Mus musculus: one gene and its partners. The protein of the gene in region 3 interacts with the protein of the main gene of each other region in a biochemical or structural test. Links are inferred from orthologs where the notes say so. Each region holds a gene or a part of one and is shown on either strand. Other genes may lie near its edges.

Evidence for each region.
Region 1: the proteins of Ppp2r1a (region 3) and Akt1 form a complex in vitro, tested with the Homo sapiens proteins (2 studies listed by BioGRID and IntAct, with this or other methods). The link is inferred for Mus musculus from reciprocal best matches to the Homo sapiens genes PPP2R1A and AKT1.
Region 2: of the proteins of Ppp2r1a (region 3) and Dcaf1, one has a biochemical effect on the other in vitro, tested with the Homo sapiens proteins (2 studies listed by BioGRID, with this or other methods). The link is inferred for Mus musculus from reciprocal best matches to the Homo sapiens genes PPP2R1A and DCAF1.
Region 4: the proteins of Ppp2r1a (region 3) and Ppp2cb form a complex in vitro, tested with the Homo sapiens proteins (2 studies listed by BioGRID and IntAct). The link is inferred for Mus musculus from reciprocal best matches to the Homo sapiens genes PPP2R1A and PPP2CB.

The regions. Positions count from the first base shown.
Region 1 is NC_000078.6:112,652,961-112,658,181, forward strand, and holds the end of Akt1 (RAC-alpha serine/threonine-protein kinase), read right to left. Parts: intron 4,776-5,221; coding exon 4,707-4,775; intron 4,434-4,706; coding exon 4,308-4,433; intron 4,237-4,307; coding exon 4,108-4,236; intron 4,032-4,107; coding exon 3,817-4,031; intron 3,630-3,816; coding exon 3,542-3,629; intron 2,270-3,541; coding exon 2,167-2,269; intron 1,818-2,166; coding exon 1,738-1,817; coding exon of another isoform or gene 1,664-1,737; 3' UTR 861-1,663; downstream 1-860. UniProt on the Homo sapiens protein: AKT1 is one of 3 closely related serine/threonine-protein kinases (AKT1, AKT2 and AKT3) called the AKT kinase, and which regulate many processes including metabolism, proliferation, cell survival, growth and angiogenesis.
Region 2 is NC_000075.6:106,873,019-106,877,783, reverse strand, and holds part of Dcaf1 (DDB1- and CUL4-associated factor 1), read right to left. Parts: intron 3,729-4,765; coding exon 3,476-3,728; intron 1,496-3,475; exon of another isoform or gene 1,379-1,495; intron 1-1,378. UniProt on the Homo sapiens protein: Acts both as a substrate recognition component of E3 ubiquitin-protein ligase complexes and as an atypical serine/threonine-protein kinase, playing key roles in various processes such as cell cycle, telomerase regulation and histone modification.
Region 3 is NC_000083.6:20,961,881-20,967,097, reverse strand, and holds the end of Ppp2r1a (serine/threonine-protein phosphatase 2A 65 kDa regulatory subunit A alpha isoform), read right to left. Parts: intron 4,525-5,217; coding exon 4,382-4,524; intron 1,860-4,381; coding exon 1,768-1,859; intron 1,644-1,767; coding exon 1,627-1,643; 3' UTR 1,193-1,626; downstream 1-1,192. UniProt on the Homo sapiens protein: The PR65 subunit of protein phosphatase 2A serves as a scaffolding molecule to coordinate the assembly of the catalytic subunit and a variable regulatory B subunit.
Region 4 is NC_000074.6:33,612,216-33,616,980, reverse strand, and holds part of Ppp2cb (serine/threonine-protein phosphatase 2A catalytic subunit beta isoform), read right to left. Parts: intron 1,532-4,765; coding exon 1,442-1,531; intron 1,316-1,441; coding exon 1,154-1,315; intron 1-1,153.

The DNA of each region.
Region 1 (5,221 bases), on a different chromosome or scaffold from region 3:
CAGAGGCAGGCAGATTTCTGAGTTCGAGGCCAGCCTGGTCTACAAAGTGAGTTCCAGGACAGCCAGGGCTATTCAGAGAAACCCTGTCTCTAAACAAACAAACAAACAAACCCAAAGTAGGCAATGCTGTGTACGGTTCCAGAGGGCTTGTGGTCATCTAGAGAAAATCTTTGGCTGTTATAGAAGTGGATATTCTTATTTTCCAGAGGTCCAGATCATCACCCACCCTAACTTTGCAGGAGTCAGACACCATCCCAGCAAGGCCACCAGCCACTAGGCTCTGTATATGTGTAGTCCATGCCTTAGGGGAGGCCATCTGGCTGGAGGCCTCTAAATGTTTTGCTGAGCAGTTGCTGTTGCTTGCTGCAGTTCCACCAGTAGTCACCAGGTGTCACCAGCAACATACTCAGTATATCTTGGTGGCGGCTTGGACTCAGGATCGCAGACACTCTAGAGTGACCTTGGTTCCTGTCACCTCTGTCCAGACCCAGAACAGTCCCCAGTTCTGTTCAGTCACAGATGTGCTATGTCACCTCAACCAAAGCCTCCTGAGCCTTTTTGAACTGTATCGCCAGCGCATTATCCTTCCTGGTATCAGGGCCTGGCTTATTGCTCTGCCAGACACACGACAGCTGGGGCTGGCAGGTGTCTTAGATGGCCAGGGAGGGTCACTGCAAGAGTAGACTCCAGAGACAGTCAAGATCCTCCCACTTCTGTCAGGAGTGTCCTGCCATGAGGACGACATCCCCTGGAGCCTCAGGGACCAGTTCCCAGGACCCACCCTGATGTGACCCCAGCCACACCCCTTCACCTCCCACCCACTAACAAGGCTGTGACGCTCCACACCAGAAAGCAAACCACAAGCTTGAAAAGCAATTTTTATTGAATTTGGAGGGACAGTTTCTTATTATAATAGTAAAAATGCTGAAGCTGAATGTTGTAAAAAACGACATGGTGCAGCAATGGCCAGCGTCTGGCCGGGAGGGGACAGGCCAGGGTGACGGACAGCGGGAGAGGGAAAGCATCTAAAAGGACAAGTGCTAGGAGAAGGGCTCACGTGAGGCAGGCGCTCCCAGGGTACCCGCTAAGAGCCACCACGCGGGAGCGGGTGCGGGAGGGCAGGGGCTCTCCTGTCACCAAGATTAAAATCCCCTAAATGTCTCTGAACAGCATGGGACACAGCAACAAACTGGATTCTTGTTCCTCTGTCAACCTCACTTGAGCCCTGGCCATCCCATCCAGCCCTAGGGCTGAAGCAGCTGTGACCTCTCCCCGCCCAGAGGGAGAGGGCCAGTTAGCATACCACAGGGGGGTGCTTCTGGTGCCTTCTTGCTGGACTTTGGCCCTGGACCCTAGAGACAGGTGGCGGCCAGGGTGGACAGGCCAATGGGGGCAGTGACGGGACCCACCCAGACCCATGAGCCCACATTGCACATGGTCGCGTCAGTCCTTAATAGTTTTCTACATGAATCTAATTGTTCTGGGCACTGAGGCCACATGTGTGGTCTCAAACTGGATGAAATAAATTAAGAAAAACCCCAGGATAGTTTTCCTCCTGACCTGGCTGGGAGGTAGGCTGCTGCCCACAGTAGAAACATCCTCCCCTGGTCCTGGAGGCTGGCAAGGTTCCTCCCCAGCGCATCCGAGAAACAAAACATCAGGTTCAGATGATCCATGCGGGGCTTCTGGACTCGGCAATGCAGAGGAGCGTGGAGCTGCCAGCCGCTGCCCCAGGCCTCAGGCTGTGCCACTGGCTGAGTAGGAGAACTGGGGGAAGTGCGGCCTCCGCTCACTGTCCACACACTCCATGCTGTCATCTGTGGGCCACAGGAGGGCTCAGACCATCTCTAGAAACAGCCCGCCCACCTGACACATGCCAGAGGATACAAGGGGGCCCTGTGAGGGGGCAGTGACTCTGGCCCTCAGAACACTCCCTCCCTCCCCGCCAAGCTGCTACCACCCTCCAAAGGGTTTGTTTGATTCTTTTAGTTTTGGGGCTGAGAGAGAGCTTAGTGGTTAAGAGCACTGGCTGCTCTGGTAGAGGACCCGGGTTCAGTTCCAGTGCCCACGTGGCTACTCACAACCACCTGTTAACTCCAGTTCCCCCCCAAAAAAAGCAGGAGTGCAAGCCAGACACTGAGGGGCCATGGAGTGGGGTGGCCTCACCTTGATCAGGCGGCGTGATGGTGATCATCTGAGCTGTGAACTCCTCATCGAAATACCTGGTGTCAGTCTCAGAGGTGACCTGGGGCTTGAAAGGTGGGCTCAGCTGAGGAGCAACAGAAGGCCTGGTTACTACTGGGTTCCAATCCCTCCATCCTCTCTGGGCAATACTGACCTTATCGGGTGGGCACTAGCACTAGGGAACAGCTCTAGGAGATGGAACTGGGTAGGGCAGTGTAGGCAGGGGAGAGCAAGCCCAGAGATGCCCAAAGTGACGAGAGGGTAGTGACTGCCCACCTCCAGGCAGTGGGAACTCCGTTCTCTGGTTGTCATTTCCCTTCTGAGTTTTTTTTTTTTTCTTCCCTTTCCATTTTTTGAAACTGGGGTTCTGTGTAGCCCTAGGAACTACCTCTGTAAACCAGGCTGGCCTCAAACTCAGAGATCCACCTGCTCCTGCCTCCCAGGTGCTGGGACTAAAGGCACACAGTGGCACCACCACAGCTGTGGCAGGACTCAAAGCAGTCTTCAGGTGAGCTCGCCTGCCTCACTGACAGCCCATGAAGAAGATAAGCTGCAGAGTGGTGTATGCACTGGAGGCTGCTAACATCCTTTTGGGTCTCACAGGCAAGGACCCTCAATTGCCATCCCTCCCAAATCTGGTGTGAGGGCAATGCGGACTTCATGGGATCTCTAGTTGAGTGTGGGCAGGAAAGGCATGCCATCCACACCCCCACATGCTGCTGGCCCCGTGTTATCTAGAAGGTACACTCAAGGCAGGGGGTAACAGGGCACCCAACACATCAAGGTAGAGTGTTGAGACCACCTGCTGTGTCCCTCATCAGCCTGGGCCAGGGGTACTTAGGAGCTGAAGAGAATCACACTTAGGGGTGAGTACAAGGGGCTCTGCTCTCTGCAGTGGCCTACACTGTGCCAGACGGGCAGGGGCCGTCCCAGAATGGGATTAGGCTCGCCCTAGAGTTGGAGACACCTAGACATTACCCCCCACCCTCGGCTAGCTTTCATCATAGGGCACATGAGGCGATCTCCAGGCAAAGGACAGGAGCAAGCAACAGGTGTAGGCAACAGGGGCACAATTGAGGGCCTGGAGAGGCCAGGTGACTGTGCGAGGTATGCAGGGCAGCATACTACCCTCTTCTGTGCGAGCGAGAAGGCTGTGCACAACCCTGTGGCTCTGTGGGGGCATGTGACTACACAAGGCTGTGGGCCCAGCATGCGTGTCTGAGCCAGCAAAAACAGGAGTGTTTGCATGTGTGCACACATGTGATCCAGAGATGGGCACAGTGGCCAGAGTGAGAGTGTTTATATGTATGCACACACGTATGTGATCCAGAGATGGGCACAGTGGCCAGATGCACACCTTCTTCTCATACACATCCTGCCACACGATGTTGGCAAAGAACCGGTGCTGCATGATCTCCTTGGCATCCTCGGAGCCCCCACCGAGCCTGTGGGTAGGAGACAGGTCCAGGGCTCAGACACTGCGTGCAAGGTGACAGGTCACGGGGATACTCGCAGGGTAGGGATACCCCTAGCTGCCTGACCACCCCACCCGACATGTGACTGAGACTGTGGCGGGTACAGTGGGCAGCAGCACTGTCTAGAGGCTGAGCCTGAAGCCCCGGCAGCCCTTACCTCTGTGTAGGGTCCTTCTTGAGCAGCCCGGAGAGCAGGGACTTGGCCTCAGGGCCGAGTGTGCGCGGGAAGCGGATCTCCTCCATGAGGATCAGCTCGAACAGCTTCTCGTGGTCCTGGTTGTAGAAGGGCAGGCGGCCACACATCATCTCGTACATGACCACGCCCAGCCCCCACCAGTCCACTGCACGGCCGTAGTCGTTGTCCTCCAGCACCTAGATGGGGGACTCTGTCAGCGTTGTGTCGGGGCGTGGGAGGATGTAAGGGAACACACAGGAAGTGGCAGAGCACCTCAGGGGCCAGGTACTCCGGCGTTCCGCAGAATGTCTTCATAGTGGCACCGTCCTTGATCCCCTCCTTGCACAGCCCGAAGTCCGTTATCTTGATGTGCCCGTCCTTGTCCAGCATGAGGTTCTCCAGCTGTGTGGGAAGGCGCTCAGTCAGTGAGGCCAGACCCCCCAGCCCCCACCCGCCCTGCTCCATAAGCACACCTTCAGGTCCCGGTACACCACGTTCTTCTCGGAGTGCAAGTAGTCCAGGGCAGACACAATCTCCGCACCATAGAAGCGGGCCCGGTCCTCGGAGAACACACGCTCTCGAGACAGGTGGAAGAAGAGCTGTGGGGTGGAGCGCGCTGAGGAAGGCCTGTGTGAGGGCCCGCCAACCCTTACCCACAGGCAGAGGGAAGGTTAGGAACTAGCCCCCAAAGAGAACTGGAGACTGCGAGACTCCAACTCAGCAGAAATAAGACATCCCCAAACGAGCAGCTACAGGCTCACATGGCCAGGGCTGGCAGCACCAGTGATCTGTACTACAGAGAGGGTTCAAAGCTCTCAGAGGGACAAGTTCACCCATCAAGTGCCCAGGTCTGAAGCTGCCTGTGGCCCTACCTCGCCCCCGTTGGCATACTCCATGACAAAGCAGAGGCGGTCGTGGGTCTGGAATGAGTACTTGAGGGCCTGGAATGGAAGCAGGGCAAGCCTAAGCACAGTGACACTGCCACCCCAAGATGGATCAGGGCACATCTTGGGTATCACCGTAGCCCAGGCTGGCCTAGAACTCAGCAGGGGCTACAGATGCAGGCCACATGCCAACTGGTAGATTTTAAGATGAGAGACACGAGGTCTAGGTTCAACTGCAGGGCAAGATGGCTTAGAAGTTAACTATACCAAGTTCTGGGGTTCCCAAGAGCCTCCAGATGGGGAGGTTGACACAACAGCTTATGAACTGGTGCACTGAGCCACCCCGGCACCTTTCCATCATGGACCACGGGTGGAATAAGCCCAAGATGCTGACTCTGGAACTCAATCAAGCTACTGTAACTGAGCTTCACTAACAATCAACCCTGAGGGACCAGCCTAGAAGACGGGTCTGAGAGGACTGCAGGGATGGAGAGCTGGGGCAA
Region 2 (4,765 bases), on a different chromosome or scaffold from region 3:
CAAATGCTGCAGTGACCCTAACTTGTGGTCAGGACCTCCTATTCTAAAAAGTCTTTGCAGCAAAGGCAAATGAACTATAATAATCCCAGGGTTTTGAGCTGCTGTTGCCCTACAATATCCAGGCTTAAGAGCAAGGGGTCCCCAGAAGCATAGACGAAAAGACCCCTGAAGACAATATGCCTCTCTTTCAAGGACAGGTTTGTATCTGAAGCTATACCCTGCATGACTCAGGAACTGTGCAAAGTCACATGGTGACCCACAGCTATGGTTCTATGAATTTCACCAGACCACAGAAAGGCTCCATAAGTTGAGGAAGGTTGGGTTCCTCCAGACAAGCAGAGTGACGCTTGTAATAACACTTGTAAATGAGGGGTCAGTACAATCAGTCTGCTCCACTGACAGTCATGAGGGATAGCAACATCCACAAAGGACAGACCAGAAAACACAGGGAAGAGCACTAAAAGACAACCTGTAGGTGACAGCTGTGTCTCCACCTCAGAGTGCAAGCAGAAATGTTCAAATGTCATGTATTTTATGTCAGTGTTTACACCCAGGTTATAGTAACAATATTCTTGTAACTTAAAAGAGTTTTCCAAATTACCTTTGCTTTAAGAGAGTTAATTTTTAGAATTTAAGCAAAATTCTGAAAAGAGGGTATACTGTTACCAAATACAAATTGAGAGGGTTTATATTCAAATTAGGAATGGAAAACCTGAAGCTGGGTGTGGTGGCACATGCCTGTAATCCTAGCACTCAGAAAGTGAAGACAGAAGGGTTGGGGAACTTGAGGCCAACCTGGGTCATGAAGCAAAATATGTTAGGCAGCCAGGGCAAACTCAGGATCTGAGAGGACCACGCTGCCCTGTATAATGGAGCAAATCCAAGCACTGTTGGCCGAGCCCTTGTTGGTCACCTGTGTCATAAATAGCTGAGGGCAATGAACCATATGGCCACTGCTGCCCAGGAGTCCCCCTCAAAGAGGCGCTTACATGTCAACTGTCTGCCACAGTAAGACCCAATGTAGAACTTAGAAATATGTTTCATGACCAAAATGTATCATCCCAATGCAAGCAACCTAGGATTAGCTAAAGTATGTGGAAGGCAAGTAGTCCCCAGCACTAGGAATGTGCTATGAAAAGAGCCAAGTCCAAGCCCTAGAAAAAGTTGGAGCACGGATCAGGCTCCTTGCCGTGAGTAACAACAGTTCAACCCCCTCTCATGACCATGTGGGTGTGTCCCTGCTGTTCTGCCAAGACTCCTTCCATTTTTCTTTGTATTTAATGGGTACAGGCTTAGAAACATTACAGAATAAAAAAGCCCAGATATCTTCGCTCCTCTGGTGATTAAATGCACATTAGCACATCTATGTCTCATTTACTGTTGTAAGGCATGAGCAGAAGCTGGAAGTGTCATCTGGATTGTTGGGACACCGTCACTGGTAGCGAGCGGCTCTCTGCTCTCATTCACTGCCCCATCATGGAATAAGTACACAGCCCTGTGAATGAAGGCAGTTGTCAGGGTTAGAGTAGGGGGAAGGAAGGTTTCTCTCTTTTATCTTTGATGGGGAAGTAGTTTTATTTTCATTGTCTAGATTACCCCCTCCCCTTTTCATGGAGACCTCACTGTACTGGTTAAAAGCATGAGCTCGGGTCTTCTGAACTCTGTCTAGCCACTTCTCACTCTAAGTAGGCTTGGGGAGGAAAAGGCCCAACCAAACCAAAATGGAACACCCAATGACAGTACTGCCACCCTGTTATACTCTAACTTTGTTGGGTCTCTCCTTCAAAAGGAGCTTTTGACTAGTCTTGTCTATCTGGAAACTTCTTTAAATCTTGGGTTTTGGTAAAGTATTTTTAATTTCAAAACAAAAAAAGCAACTCAAGTGACACTCCTACAAGTGCAGGTGGCTCCAGCCACCTGCTGTAGACTGAGCCCACCTAACTAACCTGCATTACTAACCTGTTGAAGGGAGGTAAAATTTTGTCTCTAACACCTCACTATTAAAGTTTTATTTAAAATGTCCCTGGGTCCTTATCTAGCTCTCAGAGGTCATGGCCAGGGGTTAACCCACAGAATCATCTCAACCTTTGAATATGATACACCACAGCTAGGTGGGTATAAGCAACCCCACTCTCACCAAGACCTTCTTCAAATATGATAAGAGGACTTAATCAACTGTCAGTCCCAACTCGATAAGCACATAGTGATATTTGTCCGAAAGAAAATGAACTTACATCAGGTAGAGGAGCAGTATTGTGTGCGCACAGTACATGTAATAGAAGTTTCTATATTAAGCACACTGCCACCCACCTCTCCTACCAGGAAGCATGATCATAAACAGGAGGCTGGCTGATAGAGCACCATTAAGTTTGCTTGACCTAGGCCACCAAAATACAACTTTGCCATGATATAAAATGATATAAATGTATGTGTTCTTACTGCTCAGCACGATAGCAACATATGCTACAGAGCAATTGGAAATGAAAAGCTAATTTTTAATTTAATTATATTTCAACAGCCCTCCGTGCTACGTGGCTGCTATTATCAGACACAGCACCTACCATGCCTGTAAGGACGCTGGGTATATATATATATATATATACCAGCTAAGTGAGACAGGAATCACTCTTCACTCAGGCAGGGCAGCGATCAGTATAAGACTCAGGACCGCAGCCAGAACTGCCAACAGTGGCACGCTCGTGGCAACAGAGACATGTCAAGAGTACAATGTTTGCCCAGTCTTAAAGCTGATTATTTGGGAATTCATAACAATGATAGGAATGGCTTCAGAAACCCACCAGTGGGAAATTACTATACAAACTGGAGTTTGTTCTTTAGAGTTCTGAACAAGAAGTGGGGTAGGGTGAAATGAACAAGACAGATGCATTGGTTCCTCAACCTTCAGGAGAGACTGGTCAAAAGCAGCCAGGAGAGGCTCTCCCACACAAGGCCCTTAATCTATACACAGCGGCCACGGAGGCAAAGGAGCCTGTGAAGAGCTGCTTCAAACTGACCTCAGCCAGACCCTCAGGTGACAGCCATGCTTCCACCTTTCTAAGTCCAATACTTTAAAGCTGGAATTCAAAAACTATAAGCTCACTACCTATTTTGTAAATAAGTTTTATTGCAACACAGCTCTAAATATCACTTCATGTTTGGCCTGTGACTGCCTTCTCCTCACTACAGGGGATCTGAGGCTGTGACAGGGCCCACACGACCCAGGAAGCAAAGAAGCACTGCCTTTGTTCTGACAGAAAAGTGTGCAAACCTTCGCTTATGAGTTAAGAGGAGGAGCCACCTGATGGCTATAGAGTCTGACGGGAGAAGAGGCTGACTAATGTCTCAGGGCTTTTCCTCAGGGGCCAGAGTGGAGAGGCAGCAGAACTCAAGCCCAGCTGTCTTCTGGAATGGGTTGGGACAGCAGAAGGACCTGGCCTGGGTGCAGCGGCTCGCCCAGACTCTGCCCTGTACTTACTGTCCCCCAGGATCAGCTCCACCTCCTCATCTGCATCAGAGTCTTCATCTTCCCCCTCCTCTCCCTCCTCTAGAAGGTTTGCTAGCTCCTCATCAGAGGGAGAGAAGTCATTGTCTCCATCCTCTCCTGCATTCTCATTGTTGTCATCCTCCTCCAGTTCTGCCTCCAGCAACTGGTCAGTGTCTAGTTCATCTAAATCATCAGTATCATCATCATCTTCATCATCATCTTCTTCCTCCTGTTCTTCCTCTTCCTGGTGAGAGAGCATGAAGTCCATTAGGAGAAACACAAAGCCGTAATCTGAACGGGCCATATGGTGATTGACTCCTATCAATCAAGGGGACAGAGTAATAAACTGTTAGTAGACAGACTTGTCAGGAGTGATTAGGCACACGTGTTCAAGACATTTGAAAACCCGCTCAGGAAGGATTATTGACCCTCCACAAGGGCATACAGCCCTTATGGCCCTTAAAGAGAAACCCTGCCTCACAGATGTCTCAAGCCACTGCTAACTCTAAAGGACCAGAGGGATTCTTCTTCCTGCATCAGCCAAAGTGAGTGAACTGAGTTCAGACACTGGACAAAGGGTCCTGAAACCTAAAGTCCCACGTTCTAGCAAACAAAGAACACAGCTGCTGAGGTGCCAGCTCCTAAACCCCTCAGCTCATGTACTGGCTCCATCCTACAGAATAGGCAGGTACCTACCAGAGCTGCTAAGTACTCAAGAGCAATGTTTCAACAAACCAGGCACACAAAACAGAGTAAATAGATCTCCCTTTCCTGTTACAAAGTGACAGAGTAGATATAGATAGATAGATAGATAGATAGATAGATAGATAGATAGATAGATAGATAGATAGATAGATAGATAGATAGATAGATAGATAGATAGGCAGGCAGGCAGGCAGGCAGGCAGGCAGGCAGGCAGGCAGGCAGGCAGGCAGGCAGGCAGGCAGGCAGGCAGGCAGGCAGGCAGGCAGGCAGCACACTCATCCATCCTTCTACTGTAATTTACCAAAAGTATGAAACCTACTGGAAAACCAATAAAGCATTTGCATTTTCTCTGGTTTCTAAATCGCCTGCCATTCACTTAAAAACCAAGCAGTTTGTTGACAAGGCCCTAGGTTCAAACCCCAGTACCACACGAAGAAAACCATCAGAGCTATAGTATAACCCAGACCCATTAATTAACAAGCAGCTCTGCTTTGAGGACTCTGGGGTGTGTGTTCTCTGGTGTTAGTGCCCATGCACACATGTGGATGTCAGAGGATAACCACAGTGTTGATCATC
Region 3 (5,217 bases):
TGAGTTTGAAAATATGTAATTTCTCAACTATGCAAAAATATAAGGAAGCAATATAAATTGTATAAAGGGTTTCTCAGGTATAAAGGAACAGAGGTAGCTGCACTATGAGCCAACCTGTCAGAAGGATACCAAGGAAGGAAACAGAGATTTAGGGAGTGGTAATCAAAAGGAAAGATCCCACCCAGCTAAGTATTTTCTTGTTGTTTATACTTAAAAATGCAGGCAGATTCCTGAGGTCAGGGTCAGCCTGGGACAGAGCCAATCTAAATTTAGGTCTAGTCATGGTGGAAATGATAATCTCAGGATAAGGTTTCACCCAGCTAAATTTACAAAGACAGGCAGATCTCTGAATTCTTTTGCAAAAAAGGAGAAAAAAATAAATATATACTTGCTGTCCTTTGCTTAAAAGCCAAGGGACTACGGTCATGGAATGCTGATTCGTGGTATGTTCAAGAAAGAACCTGGAATAAATAACTGAGTTGATATGGAAATTTAAAATAATGGGCTTTTGGTCTGCATGATGAGCTAGCAGATTGTATAGCCCTGGCTGTCCTGGAACTCACTTTGTAGATCAGGCTGGCCTCGAACTCAGAAATCCGCCTGCCTCTGCCCTCCAGAACTTTTTTTATACTAAGAGCTGAGCTGTCTGTCTGGAGATTCTCTGGGAAACAAAAACAGCTCTTCTAAGAAATTTTTTAAACAGGATTTCTGATTTTGGTTGGAAAAATCTATGGAGAGAGAACATGGTGGTGCCTGGCTGGTTCTATCTTCATAAAGACTTCCTACAAAGCACTGGTGTAGGTGTGTGCGGAGACTTTTCACAGGGCCCTAACCAAATCTCCTGGTAGGCAGGCTTGGCCTGCAGAGCTACATATGGATTCACCACCCAAAGTGACGGCACAGGAAATGGGGAGCTCCACACACACTCACAGGTGCTATCTCAGTTATGCGGTCCAAATCTGAGAACTCTGCTCTGCCAGTGCCTGAAAACCTGAACTGCATCACAGGACATTGCCCTGAGCAGTCTCTGGATACTGCTGTGTCTCCTGCTGCCCTCCTGCTGGATCCCAAGTGCACGCTCTTGTGATAGCAGGAGTGACATCTGCAGGAAGGTCTCCTCAGAGAAAGCAAAGAACAAGCCACAAGGCAGTGGGCTTTCCTCCATTCCGATTACTAAGACTAGAGAACCAAGTATTTCTACACCTTTATTTCTCCGTGTACAGTAGGGAAAGGAATAAAATAAAAATGGCACAATTGACACACAAAAAACATGGTTGGGGTTGGGAAAGGGTGGTGGTAAGTAGATGGGGGAGGGGTCCCCATTACAGCAGCAAAAGCCAGTGACCTAGGATGCTCCCATCTCTCCCAATATGGGCAGGAACAACCAGCCCTTCTTTTCAGGCTGCTGTCCTGCAACAACTTGTACTGCTCCAGCCCCTTGGGAGGTGGACAGAGAAGTCTTCCCAGGCTACAGAGGAGGAACCGAACCGTGCTGGGGGAGGAGCCTGGGGTCAGACCATGCACAGGGAGTGACAGTCATTTGCCCCCACCACCTCCCTAAGGGAGGTAACTTTGTGGGGGTTGGAGGGTGGACACCAGAGGCCGGCAATGCTTCTTCTTCCAGCATCAGGCAAGAGAGAGAACTGGGGAAACAAGAACAATACGCCTCAGAACCACACCACATTCTCCAACCACATTTCTGAGTGCTGCCCCATTCCCCGGAGCCCTCACCCTTCTGCCAGAGGCTCTACACTCTCAGGCCCTTACCAGTCAGAGCCTCCTGGGCAAAGTACTTGACATCCACATCCTGGTCCTGGGTCAGCTTCTCCAGGATGGGCTTGACTTCACTCTGCAGGGTGCTGGAAAGTGAAGGGAAAAGAAGATAGTGAGATAGTCTTGCCTTGGATGGATGGATGTGTGTGTGTGTGTGTGTGTGTGTGTTCGGGGGTGGGTGGGGTGGAGGAGTTGTGCCCACAGGTAGAAAGAGGGCTCCGGTGAAGGTAAGTATCAAGACAGGAACACACCAAATCATAAGGCAGAGTATAGAACATGAACACACAAAGCATACACATGGAAAATTCCTGATCTCTAGGCTTGTAATCAAATAGTTAAGCAGGGAAAGCTCTTGGGTTAGCACAGGACATGAGCAAGTCTGACAAAGTAGAGCCCACAGGCCTTGAAGCTGAGCAAAAAGATTCCTTTAGTGACTGAATCCATGTTCACTGAGGTATTGTATACTTAGTATGAATACAAAAATATATCACTCTAGATTCTTGCTCAGATAAGCCAAGACTACAAGACAAGGCCAGTAAGTGGCAAGATGATCAAAGGCTTCTTGGTTTTAAGGGGCCTAGAAGTGGCATATACTCTTTATGTAAGGAGACATGGAGGAATATGCCTATCCTGTAAGGAAGGAAGACAGACCTTGGAGAGAAAGGCTGTGGAGCAACTATGAGACACACAGGCATCAAATGTTGGCAGACCGCTCCTCTATCCTCCATATAACCACTGTCTTCATTTCTACCTCCTAGAGTTATGCTTTTGTTGTTATTTGCTTGCTTGCTTTGTTACTTTTTGGGAAGCAGGTCTTTCTATATAACTTTATGTTATCTCAAGCTACATATCCCATCCTGGTCTACAACTCGACCCTCAAGCATCAACCACCAGAGTGTGCTGGGAATTCAGCAGCTGCCTACCACTGTGCCTAGCATTTTGACTTTTTCCCTCGAATATTCTTTCTGCCCCCCAACCCCCCCCACCCCGCACTCTTTGCATTCCTCTTCCCTGCTGTGTGTGTGTGTGTGTGTGTTTGTGTGTGTGCGCCCAGGCACATGTGCATGTGAATGGACACCATCTGTATGTCTTCAGAAGCCCGAGATGGGAACTAGAATTAAAAGCATGAGTGATCTTAAGTACACATGATGTGAGATAAGTCCAGGCCCTCTCAAGAGAAGCTAGTGCTCTTAACCCCTGAACCATTATCTCTCCAGACCCATATTAACTATTTTAACTCATACTCTGTACCAGCATTTGGATTATTCTTTCTTATGATTATAATATATAAGCCCACCACATTTTCAAGGGGTTGAGGGGGTAGCAACACTGAGTACTGTCTAAAAGCAAGGGCTGGATTAGGGTCTACATCTAGCTAGCTGGATCCTTCCAGTTAAAATGCTCATCCTATCTGCACTACAATTCCCATAGCACGATGTTCAGCCGAGTATTTCAGCTGTAACCTGTGCTATGTTAACAGCGTACACTGCAGAGCACCTAGTCGATGTCCTCACTGAGCATGTGAAGACAGTACTTTTAAACTGAAACAAAAGCACAAGTTACCTCATTCTCATATTTTCACATATATTAATTTTGACTACCTTCCTTCCTCCCCTCTCTCAACCCTACTTGTAGCTCTCATCTTCCCATACTCCCACTTGAATGTCATATGCCATACTTTCCTCTATGTCTTCTTCCCATGTGTATCATGGGAATTCTTTATCTTCCTATATATAGGATACTAGAGGAGTTCTTTATATAGAAACATCTCCACACTGTCAGGTTAGCCTTCTGATACACAGCTTTTCATTTTCTTGAGGGCCATCTTATCAATCACTTCTTTTGGCATCTTAGCAGGTTTATGTCCAACTCAAGACATGAAGACATTCTATATTTTCTACATGTTTTATTCATCATGCTGGTTCTAGCTCAAAAACTAATTTGTTTATGTAGAGGCAGAAATTCTGTTTGGGTTTATGTGGGCAACCAACTGATCCAGTCAGTTTTAGAAGACAGACACTTAGCCATCAAACTACAATGGTACCAGAGTGCTCTAGAAAATATTCTAGTGAGACATGAATATCCTGTCCCTGCCCCATGCTGTTTCTAAATTATGTGTCAGGTAGACTTGAGGTGCATAGTTTTGTTCTTTAGGATGTATGGGCTAGCCAAGCACTCTGCATTCCCAGGCCAGTTCCTACTAAAACTCTGCTGATATATAATGGCCTCAAATATAAGTACAGGGAATGAAGACTATATGTTTACCAAAGCTTCCTGTGGCAGTGCTTAATAGTTTCCCTAGAAATGTTAAGTATATTTCATTACATGTATTTTTTTTTTCTTCTTGTTTTTTGAGACAAGGTTTCTCTCTATAGCTCTGGCTGTCCTGGAACTCATTCTGTAGACCAGGCTGGCCTCGAACTCAGAAATCCACCTGCCTCTGCCTTTCTTTTTTCATTGTACTCTAGAGAAATGAATTCTTATTCTAAAACAGAGAAGATAGACTTTGTGGAGAGGAAAGAACAGGCATGGGTCACAACGCATAAAGAAATCAGACCCTGAGTTCTGTCTTTAAATATCTAAGATGTTTAGAACCCCCAGACCTCACCTGTTATCAAGAATGGGTCCTATCTTCTGGAGTGACTTGGCCACATTGAAGCGGACATTGGCAACTGGGTCCCCTGCCATACGAAGAACTGTGGGCAGCATGTGCTTGGTGGTGATATCCTGTCCACAGACCTCAGACAACACCTGAAAACCAGTGAATGGCAGAAGTACAGTTATGCAAGGCTTACTGCTAAGTCCCCATATATCTTCTTCTGAATATGCTGCCTGAGTCATCATCAGGACCCAGGAGCAACATGGAAGGGTATGGGTCTAGAAGCATGACTGTGGGGAGTTCTAAAATCCCTAACACAGTCTTCACTGGGGATGTTTCAGACTTTATATCTGGACTTCCATCATTCTCAGCATTTGAGAGGTCTGGATTTCTATCCCCTGAAATGCCACCTTCATAACGGAATCTCGAAATTGTAGCAGAGGAAATAAGCAAAATGTTTACTTAAGATTGTTTCTAACCCATCTTTAGCTTCTAGCTTGTGTAGGATTTACATGTCACTAAACAGTATAAGAAGTAAAACACAACTAAAAATGAGTAGTAAGTATATTCTGACACAGAATCAGAACTGTTCTATGCTCTCTATTATTACATTATTTTTCACATCCTGTTGAAAACCACCATAAATCTCAAAAGATGAGAAAACCAAACTACTAACTGGTTAGGTCCTATGATGTGTGACAGAAGCATGTGTTCTCCTTCCCAACCAGTAGAGGTGCACAGAATATGAGGCTGCTGCTCTCATACAGAAGCCTCCCAAACTTGGATCTCTCACCATGCAATCTTGGCCCTGTAGAGACCCGATCAAATACTGCAGATTCAAGCAT
Region 4 (4,765 bases), on a different chromosome or scaffold from region 3:
ACAGATCAAGTCACAAATACTTCGGTGGCTATGTTACCTTTTATAATCTAAGTTTATGCAACTGTTCAGACTTTTAAACATTTATTAGGTACAAGATTCTATTATATACCTCAGTAACCATACAGCTTTTCTTAACCTACACTTAAGATTTTAACTTAGAATATACACTGAATTTCTCAGAAAACCATAGTAACTTCCCCATTTTCCTTCATAAACTTTGCTAAGTATTTTATTTTATTTTGAGAAAGAATTTTGCTATTTAGACTACCCTGTTCTCAAACTTGCAATTGCCCCAGCCTCCCAAGTGCTGAGACATGATAGAAATGAGCCTGGCTTCTAAAGTTTGCTACTAAGTTTGCTTGAAACTCGTATTAGGCAAATACCAACTTAGAATATGCTCTCCCAGAGAGCTGAGCCCATGCTAACCAGCCATCTTGACAATCACATTGTCACCTGTGTCAGAGCCTCTGCCTTCCATCACTCGTGATGTTGGGTGGTGTTTACTTGACACATAGCACACCATTCTCATCTTTGTTATGTTAAATGTTTCAGTTTTGCCTCAAATAGCTGAAATTTGATTATTTTCTAATTTTGGAGTCTCAGGACTTTTAGGAATGTTAAAGCTTAGTCAAATTTTTTCTCCAAAAATATTATCATCACTGACATCTGTGCTTGCCAGTATAATGAAGTTTAATGTCACTTCGTGTATGTGCTTTGCATCCTGCCCCTACCCCACTCCTCGCCTGCTCTAGGCTGGTGAAGTTTGTTCTACCTTCTTAAAGCCACTACTTGCTGGTTAGAGGGACTCCGTTCTCGTTTATTCCTTTCGTAGTGACAACACTAACACAACAGGAGAAATCCAGCAATTGCTACCTCAACTGAGTGGTCACGGAATAGAACCAGCAGTGGACAAACAGCTTTCAAACCTCCTTGGTGAAATGTAGCAAGGACACACACAGCAAGCACACTCCTCAGTGTGCTCCTCTAAGCAGCATGGAGTCATCATCTCACTGAGCTCAAGTCTCTACTGAGCGCCTTCTGGAAGAGCAATGTGCTCTTAACTGCTGAGCCATCTCTCCAGCCCCTACTGAAGGTATTATGAAGCCTTATGACGGGTGCATGCGTACACCACGAGAGCAGGAAAAGTACATACTTCCATTACAAGCTGGTGAGCACGAGACACCAGTGTGAGACCGTTGGCATGGTTAAATGTTTCAGAAATGTCTTGTCCAAATGTGTAGCCAGCACCACGTGGAGAAATGCCCCAGCCGCCACGGTCATCCGGATCTGACCATAAGAGATCACACATTGGGCCCTGGATAAGGAGAAAGAATATGTGTGCACTGTGAGTTAGGATACTTAATTGAGTTACCCTTCCCATATGTGATTACACTTTTTTCTCCCTTAAAATCAAAATAAATGAAGTAACTTCGAAAATCACCTCATGTGGAACTTCTTGCAAGCGATCCAGGGCTCTTATGTGGTCCAGTGTATCTATGGATGGAGACAGGCCACCGTGGAGGCAGAATATCTGTTTTTCAATTGAGAAGAAAATGGTTTTGTTTTTATAATTGCTAAATTAATGAACAGTTAAGTAGCGGTTGCAAAGGTTAGTCATGACAGCTTTTTCTTTTTCCAAATGGTATCATTAGCTGAAAGATCTGTGAACTACAATGCAAAGCAGAGTCCAATCACCAGCAATAACCTCCACAGCAGTTCCCGTGCTCAGGGTTCTTCTCTTCCCCGGCTGCGGTCCTGGGGATGGGAGGGCCTTCCACACGCTCTAGTCTGAGCCGCACTGTGGTGTCTGCACAGTGCGTCTGCTGCACAGGGCGCTCGCTCACCACCCGTCACTGTGTTTGCGGTCACACACCTGGTTTCTTTCCCAACATTAACATCCTTCTGATTCCCATTATAGATTACAATATAGATTTACTGAGCACATAACCACTATTACATATACTTTCCCTATATAGTGTATCACCTGTAATTCCTTTACACACTTATTTCTCACTGTATGATGTGTAGAGCCCACCTAACAGAGATTGGGGCAGCTTTTGGGGTTCTCTCTCTCCTTACACTTTACTTACCGAGTCACCTCTCCTGCACACCTGCTAAGTGCATGTAATTTGCAGGTCTACATGTTAGTGGGTGCACATGTATGTGCAGGCCTAAGGTTGGTACTGTTTGCCTCGGATCACTCCACCTGACTCACCAGAGCCTGCTGCTGTGGTTAGACAGCTAACCATATCATCCCATCATCGAGAGAGGGGTCACAGGTGGGCGCTGTGCCCTCCATGGCTGCTAGGTATATAAACACCAGCCTTCATGCTTGCAAAACAGCTACTTTATGTGTTTACAAATTAGGAAAAAAATGTTGGTCGCCCCCGGCCACCTCCCAGTTGTCTTTAGTTCCCTTTACTATAGAGTGTATCTACAGGACTTCTGGCAGAAAGTGGGATAATATAAGCATTTAAAATTTTTTTCTTAGGACTATCCTCTGATTATTCAAGGACTATACTATGAATCAAAGAGAATAATGAATATTTTAGTGAACAGTTTCATATTTGTTCACTGACAGGGTCAATGGTGTATACAGCCCAGGCTAGCTTAGGAATCAACAATTCTGCCCAAAGCTCCTGAATGGATCTATATGACCCTAGCAGTCTTTTCTCCTGAATAGATCTGTATGACCATATCAGCCTTTTCTCCTGGCTCTGCTCAAGTTTGTAATGGGTCCCTAAATAAAGGAGACAGTTAATGGATTTTCTAAAAAAAATTAGCACTGAAGTTTAAATCACAGATATAGACACACCCCCCCCCCGCCCCAATTGGTTTTATCTTTTTGTGCTTGCTATATTTGGTTGACTATTGAACTTACACATTAAGCATAAGGCTTCAGTTTTATTTTATATTTTGATTTTGGAGACAGAAGCTCTATAATCCTGAGTGCTGGGATTACAGGCAGGTACATCATGTCCATCGATGAGGATTTTGAGGTTTTCCACCCCCCCAAGCTCCATGTTTCTTAAAGGCTCAGCAGATGCTGTGAAGCCTGACAACTTCACTCTGATGTAGGCCAACCTCCCTCCCTCCCCCATAAACAAATATATATAAAAATCCCCCAAACCACCACTGCCACAACAAAGCAGATCTGATGCTAGATGGCCCAGCCAGTCAAGATCTTGCCATATAGGCAACTGAGCCCCAGCACCGATGTAAAAAGCCAGGCTTGACAGCACTGCATGGAAGCTCAGTGGAGACACAAGGCCGTCTCTGACCAGGCCTGCTACCTGAATCGTAAGCTCCAGGTTCAGTGAGAAACCCTGTCTCAAAAAGCAATGTGCAGCCGAGAGTGGTGGCGCACGCCTTTAATCCCAGCACTCAGGAGGCAGAGGCAGGCAGATTTCTAGTTCGAGGCCAGCCTGGTCTACAGAGTGAGTTCCAGGACAGCCAGGGCTACACAGAGAAACCCTGACTCAAAAAAAACATAAAAAGCAATGTGCAGATCAACCGAGTTACGACAGCTGCTTCCAGCCCCACGTGCTTGTCCCCACACACTGCACACACGATATTTACATCTGGTTTCCTAGGTCCCAATATACTGAACACTATGAAGGACCTAAGCCTGTCACTTCCTTCCAGGACCCTGTGTACCATTTGTTTTCTCTACTTGATTTCTGAGGTGTCTTCCAGTAATAACATTTAATAAATGATAACCTGTCACAATGGTGTGTGTAGGCTGGCTGTTTTGTTTCTTATAAATATTTCAAAAACAGTAAAGGCTGATGAGTTTGGGGAGTGCTGATTGTATAAGAAATACATAAAAGTTCTACCAATGTATGAACCAAATTTTAAAATTAGATCTACCACCAATACTATTACTATTATCTTTCTAAATGAATTTGTTCTTTAAGGCTAATAAAGACTGTTACTTGAACAATTTTAATTGAAATTTAACAACTTATACATTTACAAGTTAGCAAGTATAGGCAACGTATTGTCACTACAATTATTGCAGCATCCAAACTCACGGCTGGAAAAATATGGACTGTTATAATTAAATTATATTCTGACTTGCAAGCCGAAGAGTATCTGTTACACCTTCAAGAACACTGGGTAGCCCTGTCAGTACTGGAACTCACTCTGTAGACCAGGCTCGCCTCGAACTCAGAAATCCGCCTGCCTCTGCCTCCCGAGTGCTGGGATTAAAGGCGTGCACCACCACGCCTGGCCTGTATAATGTCTTATGTATGCCGCAAAACTTACTATGCTGGGAACAGAGAACCCCTTGATAAAAAAGATGTAATATATAATATGATACTTGTTATCATGAAGATAGATGGGAATAAAAAGTTACTAATGATAGCCAGGAAACATAGTAATACAAGCACAATTTCTTTCTTTTTTTTTTTTTTTTTTTGGTTTTTCGAGACAGGGTTTCTCTGTATAGCCCTGGCTGTCCTGGAACTCACTTTGTAGACCAGACTGGCCTCGAACTCAGAAATCCGCCTGCCTCTGCCTCCCGAGTGCTGGGATTAAAGGTGTGCGCCACTGCGCCTGGCTACGAGCACAATTTCTAATAACATCTTGTGTTACTAATAATATATACACCCAAAGACTTAAGCATTTTTATACTGTCTTCTAAATGTAAAAAGCACACATTAGGGCACGTATCTTCTTTGGCCAGGTAAAGCGGGGCTTGGGGTGACTGCAGCCCAGAACCCCAGCTGCTTGGGAACACGAGGCAGAATCATAGTATCAA